3 linked regions of the Oryzias latipes genome follow. The protein of the gene in region 1 purifies or fractionates together with the protein of each later gene. This does not show direct contact. Links are inferred from orthologs where the notes say so. Each region holds a gene or a part of one and is shown on either strand. Other genes may lie near its edges. The genes, in order: gars, iars and glutamine--fructose-6-phosphate aminotransferase [isomerizing] 1.

Region 1 (3,414 bases):
ATGAGGCTGGGGGATGCGGTGGAGCAGGTAAGGGACATCTAGTGGATCGATGAAGTGCAGAATGTTTCTGTTGCGTTTGAATAGAAACTGGATTTTCCTGTCTGATTCAGGGAGTGATCAATAATTCAGTCTTGGGATATTTTATTGGGAGGATCTACCTCTACCTGACTAAAGTCGGCGTTGCCAAAGACAAGTTGCGTTTCAGACAGCACATGGACAATGAGATGGCTCACTACGCCTGCGACTGCTGGGACGCTGAAACCAAAACCTCATATGTAAGTCTGGTTCCTCTCTGCTTCTGGGTTTGTGTTCATAATGATCCTCAAAGGGATGTTTGTCGCCCACAGGGCTGGATTGAAATCGTGGGCTGTGCTGACCGCTCATGTTATGATTTGAAGTGTCACGCGCGAGCCACAAAGGTCCCTCTGGTTGCTGAGAAGCTTCTTAAAGAACCCATATCCTTGAGCTAAAGCAGCAAATAACAAAGCAAAACCAAAATCTGGTTTCATTTTGTGGCTTTAGTTGCTCCTTAACGCTTCTACACAAAACTGTAAATGTTGTTCAGTTTGAGCCTAACAAAGGAGCCATCGGGAAGATGTACAAGAAGGACGCCAAGCTGGTTATGGAGTATCTCGCTGTGTGTGACGAATGCTTCATCACTGAGCAGGAGCAGCTGCTGAATGAAACCGGGTAAATCTCTGTCTGTTCAGCTTTTCATAGAACTCTTTATTCTGGTAGATTATTGAAATGATTTTAATAAAATGCATTTATAGATGACTAATGTGAATCATTGTAAAATAAAGCAGTGATCCCAAACCCCTTGGGCGGTGGACCTGCACAAGTCCATTAGACAGTTGGTACCGGACTGAAGAGAGAAGAAAATACATGACCTACATTTTTTTAGCTTTATTTATAATCTGATTCTGAATGAAGTTTTATTTTGGAAAACAGATGGGTTTTCTTCACCACATCCGTCTCATTCTTAAAGCATGTAAAGTCGCTCTCGTGTCAACAATTCATCTGCTATCGACCGTTAAATTGTTCCCCCAAGCTAGCAAAGTTGACAAAAACAAACGTATATGGTGAGTCTCTTCTCGCAGACAAGAGCCAGTTAGAAAACAGAGAAAGGCAAAAACCAGGAATCTTTACTTCACATATGGATGTCTTATGACAGTTGTTCCCACACACCACAATAAACATGCATAATATTCAGCAACCAGCTGTCTAACTTTAGGAGTATTCTACTAATAAAGTTTCTTCATGTTCATTATTATATTTAGAAAATACCAGTTTTGGGAAACTTATTTTCTTTTTGTATTTGTCTGTCGCTTCTAAAAGAGGTTGGTGTCTGTTTTTTGTTTTTTTTTTGTTTCCACACAGTTATAGGTTAATGGAAAATCTATATCACATTTTAATTGGTTTCTATACAAAATCTAGTTTACAAATACCGGTAGATGCAGATATTTTACAACAAAATGAAGACAAACTTTAATCTCAAAAGTTGAGGGGAAACTGGGAGCTTAAGAAAAAAGAGACTCTAACTTCAGCCTCGTACAGAGCGGTCCGTAAAAAAATCTTGGTGTATTTTAGCTGTTATTTGTTCCTAAATTTAAACCATTTTTGACGCAGAGAGTTCAACATTGAGACGGAAGGAAAGACGTTCAAACTCACAAAGGACATGGTGAGCGTGAGGCGGCAGCAGAAGACTCTGCATGGTGAGGAAGACTCCACAGAAAGCGTAGAGTCCACAATGCTTCTGCCACTTTTTTTTTTAACCGCCGTGCTGCATTTCTGTTTTTGTGCAGTGGAGGAAGTTGTTCCCAACGTCATCGAGCCGTCCTTCGGCATCGGCAGGATCATGTACACCATCTTTGAGCATACATTCCACATCAGAGAAGGAGATGAGCAGAGAACGGTAAGTTTAGACGTTGTGACTAAATGTAACATCAAAGGTTGATTGCTATTGTCGGGTTTCCATTTTCTCTGTTGCAGTACTTTAGCTTTCCTGCTACTGTAGCTCCGTACAAATGTTCGGTTCTACCTCTCAGCCCAAATCCGGAATTTATGCCCTTTGTGAGGGAATTATGTAAGTTTCCACAACTAAAGTCCCCTTTTTTTTATCTTTAGTGCTTTTGCAGTGATCCTGTTTTATTTTTTTTAAATCTATAGCCGAGGCAATGACCAAAAATGGGGTGTCCCATAAGGTGGATGACTCATCTGGCTCCATTGGAAGGCGCTACGCCAGGACAGATGAGATTGGCGTGGCTTTTGGTATCACCATCGACTTTGACACCGTGAACAAGACCCCCCACACGGCCACTCTGAGGGACCGGGATTCGATGAGGCAAATACGAGCTGAGGTACCGTTAAGATTTAGCTTCATGAAACACACAAGACTGCATTGATACTAATTATCTTAAGCCTTTTTGTTGTTCAATTGAACCCCCCACCTTATCAACACTTCCATCTTCTTCCTCAGGTCAGCGAGCTTCCTGTAATAGTTCGAGATTTGGCCAGCGGCACGATGACCTGGGCAGAAGTGGAGAGCAAGTTTCCCATCTTTGAGGGGCAAGAGACCAGCAAGAAGGAGGCATCTGAAGAGTAGAGTTCACTTTGTGCGAACATCCACAGACTCGATGCCTCATGTCAACACAGAGCACTGCAGCCGTGTTGTGATCAGCTGTGTTTTACGTCACAACGTCGCATATTCATCTAATCTGAGAAACGAGGCGAAGCTTAGACTTCTGTCGTCGGCACTGCATCCACTCTGTTGTAAAAGGGACAAAATCAAATCAGGTTGATGAGAACTTCCACTTGTTCCAGTTTTAAAGTGAAATGAAGCTTCAATAAAAGCAGTTGGTGCTTAGTGGACGTGTCTCTGGTTTGTGTTTGGACCCTTCTGACTGAAACCGTTAAATACTCTCTGTGACGATCACAAACACGGAAACTGCATTCAAACTGTGGGATTCAAATAAAAGTATTTCTAAAGTTTTAACACTTAATGTTGATCTAATGAAACCATTGGCTCCGTTTTCCACACCATTTAAATGACAAGACCAAAAATTTTCCAACTAAGAGGTCTTCAGGATACCTTTGAAGGATCAGTCAATAGTAAATACCTGATTAAACGGACTTATATTGTAGGGGTGGCGATGAAACGAAGGTGTTTCAGTTCAAGTTTGCTGCCATGCAGCTGTATCGTCTCAAGTTCTGTGAAAGGAAGAAATGATATAAAACATTTTTTAAACTCAATTTGACTTCAGATTTTTCTCTGTAAATATGTTTTAAAAAACAATGAGACAACAAATATTCCCCAAAAGTAATGGAATTTTTTTTTTTTTATTTAGGCTAAAAATCACATTCAATGACAGAAGAAAAAATACTGAAAGCACAAAGAAAAGGGAAATACAAAAC
Region 2 (3,653 bases), on another chromosome or scaffold:
GAAATGACACTTTATTTGTATCACTAACCTATTTTTTCTCTCTCTTTTCTTTTTTTTTTAGGGACATTTGGTGCCATCAGATGAGATAACTGTGCATTACCACTGTCAGCCAGAGGGGGAGTACTTGGCTTCTGTAATCCAAGCCCACACTGATTTTATTCTGGGAACTACAAAGGCTCCACTACTCCCATATCCTGTTCCAAAGAGTGCCAGCATCATCATAGCAGAAACTACGCAGGTACGAGTGGATCCCTTCAAGACAAGTTTGTGCTTTTTGAAGCTTGATTCAGGCCACAACATGGAGAGACAGAAAAACGATAAAAATGGCCTTCTCTCTTTTACCAACTTGTCAATAACTTTTTGGGGCATGTGTGTGTGTTTTTTCCAGCTTAAGGGCTCAGACTTGGAGTTAACTATCGTGAAGGGATCTTCAGTCCATCAAGCTTCACTAAATGGACCCGCATGCGCTTATGTCAACGCCCGGGTGAAGGTCGGCAACAGAGAACTAGGTAGGAAAGGTGCAGCGTCCATGTCCTACAAAAGCAATGACAAAAAAAAACCATTTCATTTGAAATCAAAGCAAAGCCAAACTAATAATGAGAAACGTACCATAGCTGTTCTGACAGTGTTCAGTTTTCCTTTAATGAAATCATTCTGTTTTTTTTCATTTGTTACCTCTTTTTTTTACGTCAGAGGGGGTAATTCTGCTGGAGAATCCAAAGGGGGATAACAGATTAGACTTGGATCGACTGCAGACAGTGTGCAGCAGCGTCTTTGGAACCAACAATAGTCGGCTTCGATTCTTCAGCGGCGGAACTGGTAACAGACATTTCAGCTCCTGTAAAAGAGAGAACCCCTAATTCTCCCCCAGCACTAATACTTTCTTCAAAATAGAATCTTTTCAGAGCATTCTATTCTAATGTGTTTTTTGTTTGTTTTTTTACACATGTACATTATAGAGCTGACTAGTAAAATGGATCTTCTGGCTCTCAGTGGCAAAACTTTAGCCGTGACTTCAGGCCCCTCCTCTCCTGGCCCCGCCCCTACTGCCAACACCCCGCTGTGCCCCTATGTGAACCTCGTTCTGTGCAACGCACAGCCAGCTGGTGAGAAATGCATATGTAACCAATCATGCAAAACAAGTCCTTTCACTTTTTCCGCTCTTTTTGGTCATTATAAGCATTAAACCATTGAAATTATTTTTAAAGTGTGTTATTATAATCAAGGATACAAAGAAAACAAAAAAACCCACTTCTTCGTTTGGAATAATCACATGGTGACTCAGATTCAAAGTCTTTGAGCAGGGTCGTTTTAACAAACAAATCTGCACACTTTGAAGAGTGGTCCTCCATTGCCATGGAGACGACACAGCAAGGGGAAGCTTAATTAGCATATTATGTGTTTCTTTTCAATTTTGGACTCAAATCCATCTTAGAAAGTTTCTTTTCAAAGGCAAATGCAGTACATTAAGCTCAGCTATGAAGCTGCTGACTCTTGCCTCATTGTTATGGTTGAGACATCAATGGTATGGATCTCTTCACATACCTCCTAGCTAAATCTGTGAGAAAAACCATTTCCCATTGTTTCCGTGTAATGAATTTTCTCCAGAGTGCCAGACTGGTGAGGTGGGCACGCTGTTGTTGATGAACCCAGTGGGCCACAATGCCCTCAACTACCCAGGCCTGCTGTCTGAGACCGGCAAAGTCTTTGGCCTCCGCAGCCGACGGCTGAAGCTCTACCTGGACCAGGACTTCACTGAAGGTATGATGAGGGTTTTACATAGTGGGTTCTGTGGAGATCCGGTTATTGATCATTTTAACTTTAACTGCATGTTTGTAACTCTAAACAATTTTTTAAACTTTGACTAAGGGACAAAACTGAATATTTAGATTTAAATTCATATTCAACTGTTTTTATAGAGCACTTTTCCTGTGACAGAACACCTCAAAGGGATTTACATAAAATAAAGAAATGGTAGTAAAAATACATTACTGTTTGGTAACATGTGACACAACTGACTGTAGAGGGGTTGAATGAAAACTTAGGTTTATTTTTTCATTTTTGCTGGTAAAAGATTAATAAAAAATTTGAAGTCAATGTACATGTAGATAGTGATGTTTGGGAATGTTTGGGATTTTCAGTTCAAAACATCACAAATGCAGCATAAATTCTCTTTTTTTTGTTCTCCCCTCTCTGCCTTTCAGTCCTTAAAGTTAACGCTGTGGCTAACATGTAGGAATATGGACAGTACTTCGTGAATCACTCCTCATTTTTGACCCTAAAATGACGATGGAGATTTCTATCATTTTTAGTTAGTATTAATGAGCAAAATTCAGGTTTCACATTAGAATGTAATGCTTCTGTAAGGAACTTCATGGTCTTATTAGAGAGTCAAACAGCTTGTAGCTCTACACGCACGTAAAGGATTTGAACAACGAGTCGAACTCAGTCACTCTTAGTCAGATACATTAAGAACTCATACAAAGGCTTCTGATTCTGAACTTTACACTGTTTCCTTTTCTCAATTTTGAACAAGCCGAACCTTGATCAATGATAACTGCTCAAAAGTTTTTCTTTCAAACCCTGCAGGGATTGAAAGATGAAGTGATGATCAGAAAATTGACAGAAGTCTTTTTATTTTTTAAATGATGTTTTTAAATCAGCTAAACCTTTCCCATCAAAAGTGTTTTTTAAATTTCATGGAAGCAGCCATTTTCAAATGAGCAGAAAAAGGCCCTCTACTGCCCCTAGTGGAATGATGGTGAACTACAGGGTAGAAAGCACGGACCGAGTTATATACCGTTTATCTTCCAATAGTGGCCTGTCTCTAATTAACACAGATCTCCAATAAACGCCGGGTGTAACAAGTGCTCGTTACTTTAGACGCCGGTCTCTAATAGTGGCCGGGCTCTTTTAACCCTTGTGCTATCTTAGATGACCCCACCCTTCACAAATCATTGAAGAAAAAAGGTTCAGCGCACTGTCTAGTGGGTCTAGATGACCCAACTCCCAATGTTAAAGTGTCTAGGATAGCACAAGTGTTACGAGCCCCATCCCTCCTGCCCCGTGCACAGTTGTGCAGACGCCTTGATGTCTGTGGTATTGTTAGCAGGTGTCGCGATCAGGTAGTGATGGCCAAGAAATACTCGTTCCATTTAGAAACTTCGTGTGCCAAAGAACACTCTGGTGAAGAATCTTCACGACATTTTGGGGTGGATCCTAAACGTTTCAGAGAATGGCGCAAACAGATAGGTAATATCGAGAAGACGGCTGCAGAAACAAGAGGTGCAAAAGAGGGTGAGCGACAAATTAGAACTGCTTTTAACACGGATTACTGAGCAAAGACGGAAAAGTGCGCGTCTCCAGGGAAACGATCCGCATGAAAGCGAAGAGGATCTTTGATACGGAGATTGATGCTTCAAAAAGAAAAGAAACATTCACAGCAAGAGCTATTCAGATCATAAGACAATGTTCTCATCATTTCAATAAATCCTGAAATGTTCATCTGGTGCTTTTGTGGTGAAATTCTTGGCCGAATTTCACCACAAAATGAACTCATTAGCCTTCACCGTTCTGACTGTGATGGAATAAACACCGGTTTCCAATAGTCTCTAATAAACACCGGGCTGGCTGCCAAATTTTGGCAATAAACG
Region 3 (4,082 bases), on another chromosome or scaffold:
CATATAATGAATTGATTTATTGTTTCGGATGCTACATTCATGTAATGTTTGCAGGCCGGCTATAATTCAAGGATGTTGATAGAGGGTGTGCTGACGGGGAGCTTCAGGATCTTCGAGCTTTTTTTTTTTTTTTTTTTTTTTTTTTTGGTTTTTTTTTTTTTTTTTTTTTTTTTTTTTTTTTTTTTTTTTTTTTTTTTTTCAAACTTTATTGAATGTAAAAAATCAATACAAAATAATGTTCAACATTGAACAACGAAGAAACAAGCCAGGGGGTTTATACATTTTATGCATAAAGATTGAAACTAATACACAGATCTAATGTTTTGATGGCGTTCTTATTATCAGAGTTTCTTATTGTCTTAATGTATTGTTTGAACTCATTAATAAAGACTGAGAAATGAGGGGTATGATTCGTTACTTTTGATTTATGAATGTGCCATTTGCATAAAAACAACAAAAGGTTAATGAGGTACAACTGTTCTTTTTTATGAGATGGACAGTGGGTGATGCCAAACATAATATTTTCTAAGTACAGGCGGAAGTCAGGGTCAATGTGGGCAGAAATGAAATGACAAACTTTAGACCAGAGAGTGGTGGAAAAGGGACATGACCAAAATAAATGTACAGTATCTTCAGGGTATTCTTGACAAAAAGAGCAAGTAACATCAATATCTTCCTTGAACCTTTGTAGATATAGTTTGGTTGGATAGAATTTATGGATTAGTTTGAATGAGATTTCTTTCACTTTATTGGTTAAAAAGTATTTTGCTGGTAAATTCCAAATCTTTTTCCATTCTAAATGATAAACTAAATTATTCCAAAAAGAAACTACGTAAGGAATGGAGACAACATCCTTCTGGAAGAGTGAGCGTATACGGCGATTTGTGTTACGTGAAGAAGAAAAACAAATTTGGCCTATTTCTATTTTAGTCGGATCAATTGGCAATAAATTTGGACTTTGCAATGATGAACTTTTGAATAATGTAATAATACATTTAGGAATTGCTTTCAAAACAAAGTTAAATTCGGTTTTTGGTATTTTGATGGAGTATTTGAAGCAGAATTCTTCATGTGACATTAAAGCTCCGTTTGAATTAAACAGCTGATGAACCAAAAGGATGTTTTACTTCGAGCTTTTCCACTCACACATTGCATCCTGATGCCACGTCACTAACGTTTACGTAGATGCTGTTGCTTGACTGACGGCCTGCTCCACCAATAAGAAAACACTTTGGAGAAAGGAGATTCGTTGTCAATCAAAGAGGGGTGGGCTTTAGTGATAGGCGTTCCGAGCAACCCAAGAGCCGAGTAGTTGATCCTGACAAGCAACCTGAAGACATGTGTGGTGAGTTGTGTGATGATTTTTTTTTGTAATTCAGTTTTTATATGATCTGGATAGAAATATTTGTCTATCGCTGTTAGTCACACTGTTACTAGGAAGAAAAATCAATCAACAGTTTTAGACCAAAGGATTTGACATTAGGCTAGCTTGGGTGGCTACCTTGATTAGCGAACATGATGATGCTGCAGCTAAATTTACAAGTCAGCTTTTAGTTTATCCGTTAATCATTATATTTTTATTGATTCAGGTGTCGTGGAAATATAATTTTAACTGTAAGATTAAATGTGTTGTTGATTACTGCCTGTGTCTGTGTGTGTGTGAAGCTACAGCGTTTACGTCCACAGAAACATTTCCTCCTGGTTTGCTAATGTCATTAAACACGTAATGTTTTTCATTTATTTATCTAAACGCTAAAGGATAAACAGACATTTATATATCAAAACCGTAATAGAAGTATTTAGACTAATATAAACGAAACCAGACCATGGCTCGGGGTTTTTCCGGACATTAGTCCTATTCTTTGAGTTAGTTAGTAATAAAGGTATATTTAGTATGACATAAGAGGCTAGTGTTGAATGAATTAAAGACATGAATTTGTAGATTTTTCTTTGTTGGTAAATCAAATGCCAGGATTCTCAGTCGCCTGATAGCTGACGTATGCCTCTCATCACCTGTCAGCACAATCTGAGAATACTAACCAGACCAGAGAAACTAGTTAGTGTGCTTTTCTATTATAATGTTGTTTTGGTTAATGGTTACTTTTAGTAAATCTTTGTTTCTCCAAAAGCACTGCTGCAACTTCCCTCACTGCCTTCTAATATTTGCTGTTCTGAATGAAGGCTCTGTTCTGACATTTTGGATGTGTGATTTTCCTATTGGTCATTTATGGTTTCAGTGTGTGTGTGCGTGTGTGTGCGCGTGTGTGTGTCAGCTGGAGCGCCAGATGTTTGCAGATCAACTATGAAACTTTAAACTTTCAATCTCGCTTTGTGTTTGTGTGTTACTGTAGCTTAACCACGTTAATACATGTGTAGCAATCAGGTAACGGGGGATTCCAGACATGAGTTTAGCTTTTCTTTTTTACATGTTTGAGGCTTTTTTCAATGTGATACAACTCCACCAACACTATTCCCATAAAGTGCAGAGTTGCAAATCATTTGAGTGTACTTACTAAGCTGGCATGCATTTGTAAATAAAGCGAAAACATTGTGGTTGCTATTTAGGCTTTCCTTAATTATCATTTTATTTCCAACAGCCAGGCTTTTGGACTGAATAGTTTCAGAGTTCCTAGTGACAAAATGCTTTTTTCTTTCTCCCCTGAGCTGATGTCTGAAATGCTCCTCAGTATTTGACAGTCTGTTGCAGAAATACTGGCAAAAACACATAACACACCCGTCTTAAGCCAGTACTAATACAGCACAGTTATGACTCAGTTTGGCTTTGATCGTGATGAGAATAATATACGGATGTTTTTTGCAGAACAACAGAGTAATATTTATTTAAATCAAATATACAGTGCCTAACAATTATTCTCAAATAAAAACATAGAATAAAACTTTCTTTCTTTTTAGGAATCTTTGCCTATCTCAACTACCACGTGCCAAGGACACGGCGTGAGATCCTTGAGATCCTCATCAAAGGTCTCCAACGTCTGGAATACAGAGGCTACGACTCTGCTGGTGAGACAGATCCTAGACTAAATTGCAGCTGTTTTTATCTTTTGTTTAAGTTCATCTCTATTTTTTTCTCACTCACAGAAAAGTTATTTAAAGTAACTCAATTCATTCTGGCGCTATTGTTAAATTCTAAAGAAAAAAAACAAAATTACAATACTATTTTATTAAATTATTTATCTTCTAAGTATTAAAAAAACACAATTTCATCTTTTAGTTTGGGCAAATGAATGTGTTAAGCTCCTAGTAAAGCTAGAAGAGTATCTGTACAAAATGCCAGGACATTTCCATAGCTTTGGCGTTTAGTTCTTACGGCTTCATCTCATTTTGCTTTTCTCTGCATAAACTGGTCAGGTGTGGGAATTGATGGAGGAAACAATAAGGAGTGGGAGTCCAACGCAAAGTCCATCCACTTGATCAAACAACGTGGAAAAGTGAAAGCTCTCGATGAGGAGATCCACAGTAAGACGAGATCAAACTGCAGAAAGTGTTTTTGTGATTTCTTTTTTTTCCACTCTATTTGCTTTGGCGCCATGTCACATGTTAAACATGACGATTGTGCTCGTTGTTTTAGAAGAGCAGGATATTGACCTGGATGTGGAGTTTGATGTTCACCTTGGCATCGCTCACACTCGCTGGGCAACGCACGGTGTGCCGAGCCCAATGAACAGTCATCCACAGAGGTCTGACAAGAACAACGGTGGGTTTTGTTTAGAATTAGAAAATAAAGCGCATAAATCTTCTCTAAACCGTTCATTCATATTAAAGTTGATAGATGTGTTTCTTCTTTGCAGAGTTCATTGTGATTCACAATGGAATCATCACCAACTATAAAGACCTAAAGAAATTCCTGGTGAGTTTTTTTGTTGTTGTTGTTTTTCATTTCTTCATCTGATATGTCTTCAGAATTAACCTTTTTTTTTTAATCTCCATAGGAGAGCAAAGGCTATGAGTTTGAGTCAGAGACTGACACGGAGTCTATTGCCAAGCTGACAAAGTACATGTATGACAACCGGGAGAATGATGACCTAAGTTTTGCCACATTGGTTGAACGTGTTATCCAGCAA

Evidence for each region.
Region 2: the proteins of gars (region 1) and iars fractionate together in Homo sapiens (co-fractionation; 3 studies listed by BioGRID). This does not show direct contact. The link is inferred for Oryzias latipes from reciprocal best matches to the Homo sapiens genes GARS1 and IARS1.
Region 3: the proteins of gars (region 1) and glutamine--fructose-6-phosphate aminotransferase [isomerizing] 1 fractionate together in Homo sapiens (co-fractionation; 3 studies listed by BioGRID, with this or other methods). This does not show direct contact. The link is inferred for Oryzias latipes from reciprocal best matches to the Homo sapiens genes GARS1 and GFPT1.

The regions. Positions count from the first base shown.
Region 1 is NC_019878.2:18,054,133-18,057,546, reverse strand, and holds the end of gars (glycine--tRNA ligase), read left to right. Parts: coding exon 1-27; intron 28-110; coding exon 111-275; intron 276-347; coding exon 348-455; intron 456-544; coding exon 545-690; intron 691-1,629; coding exon 1,630-1,715; intron 1,716-1,805; coding exon 1,806-1,915; intron 1,916-1,992; coding exon 1,993-2,086; intron 2,087-2,169; coding exon 2,170-2,360; intron 2,361-2,479; coding exon 2,480-2,605; 3' UTR 2,606-2,869; downstream 2,870-3,414. UniProt on the Homo sapiens protein: Catalyzes the ATP-dependent ligation of glycine to the 3'-end of its cognate tRNA, via the formation of an aminoacyl-adenylate intermediate (Gly-AMP).
Region 2 is NC_019863.2:9,833,353-9,837,005, reverse strand, and holds part of iars (isoleucine--tRNA ligase, cytoplasmic), read left to right. Parts: intron 1-61; coding exon 62-238; intron 239-388; coding exon 389-509; intron 510-693; coding exon 694-819; intron 820-959; coding exon 960-1,106; intron 1,107-1,608; coding exon 1,609-1,761; intron 1,762-3,653. UniProt on the Homo sapiens protein: Catalyzes the specific attachment of an amino acid to its cognate tRNA in a 2 step reaction: the amino acid (AA) is first activated by ATP to form AA-AMP and then transferred to the acceptor end of the tRNA.
Region 3 is NC_019867.2:17,109,474-17,113,555, reverse strand, and holds the start of glutamine--fructose-6-phosphate aminotransferase [isomerizing] 1, read left to right. Parts: upstream 1-1,240; 5' UTR 1,241-1,338; coding exon 1,339-1,345; intron 1,346-2,913; coding exon 2,914-3,021; intron 3,022-3,369; coding exon 3,370-3,477; intron 3,478-3,589; coding exon 3,590-3,715; intron 3,716-3,809; coding exon 3,810-3,868; intron 3,869-3,950; coding exon 3,951-4,082.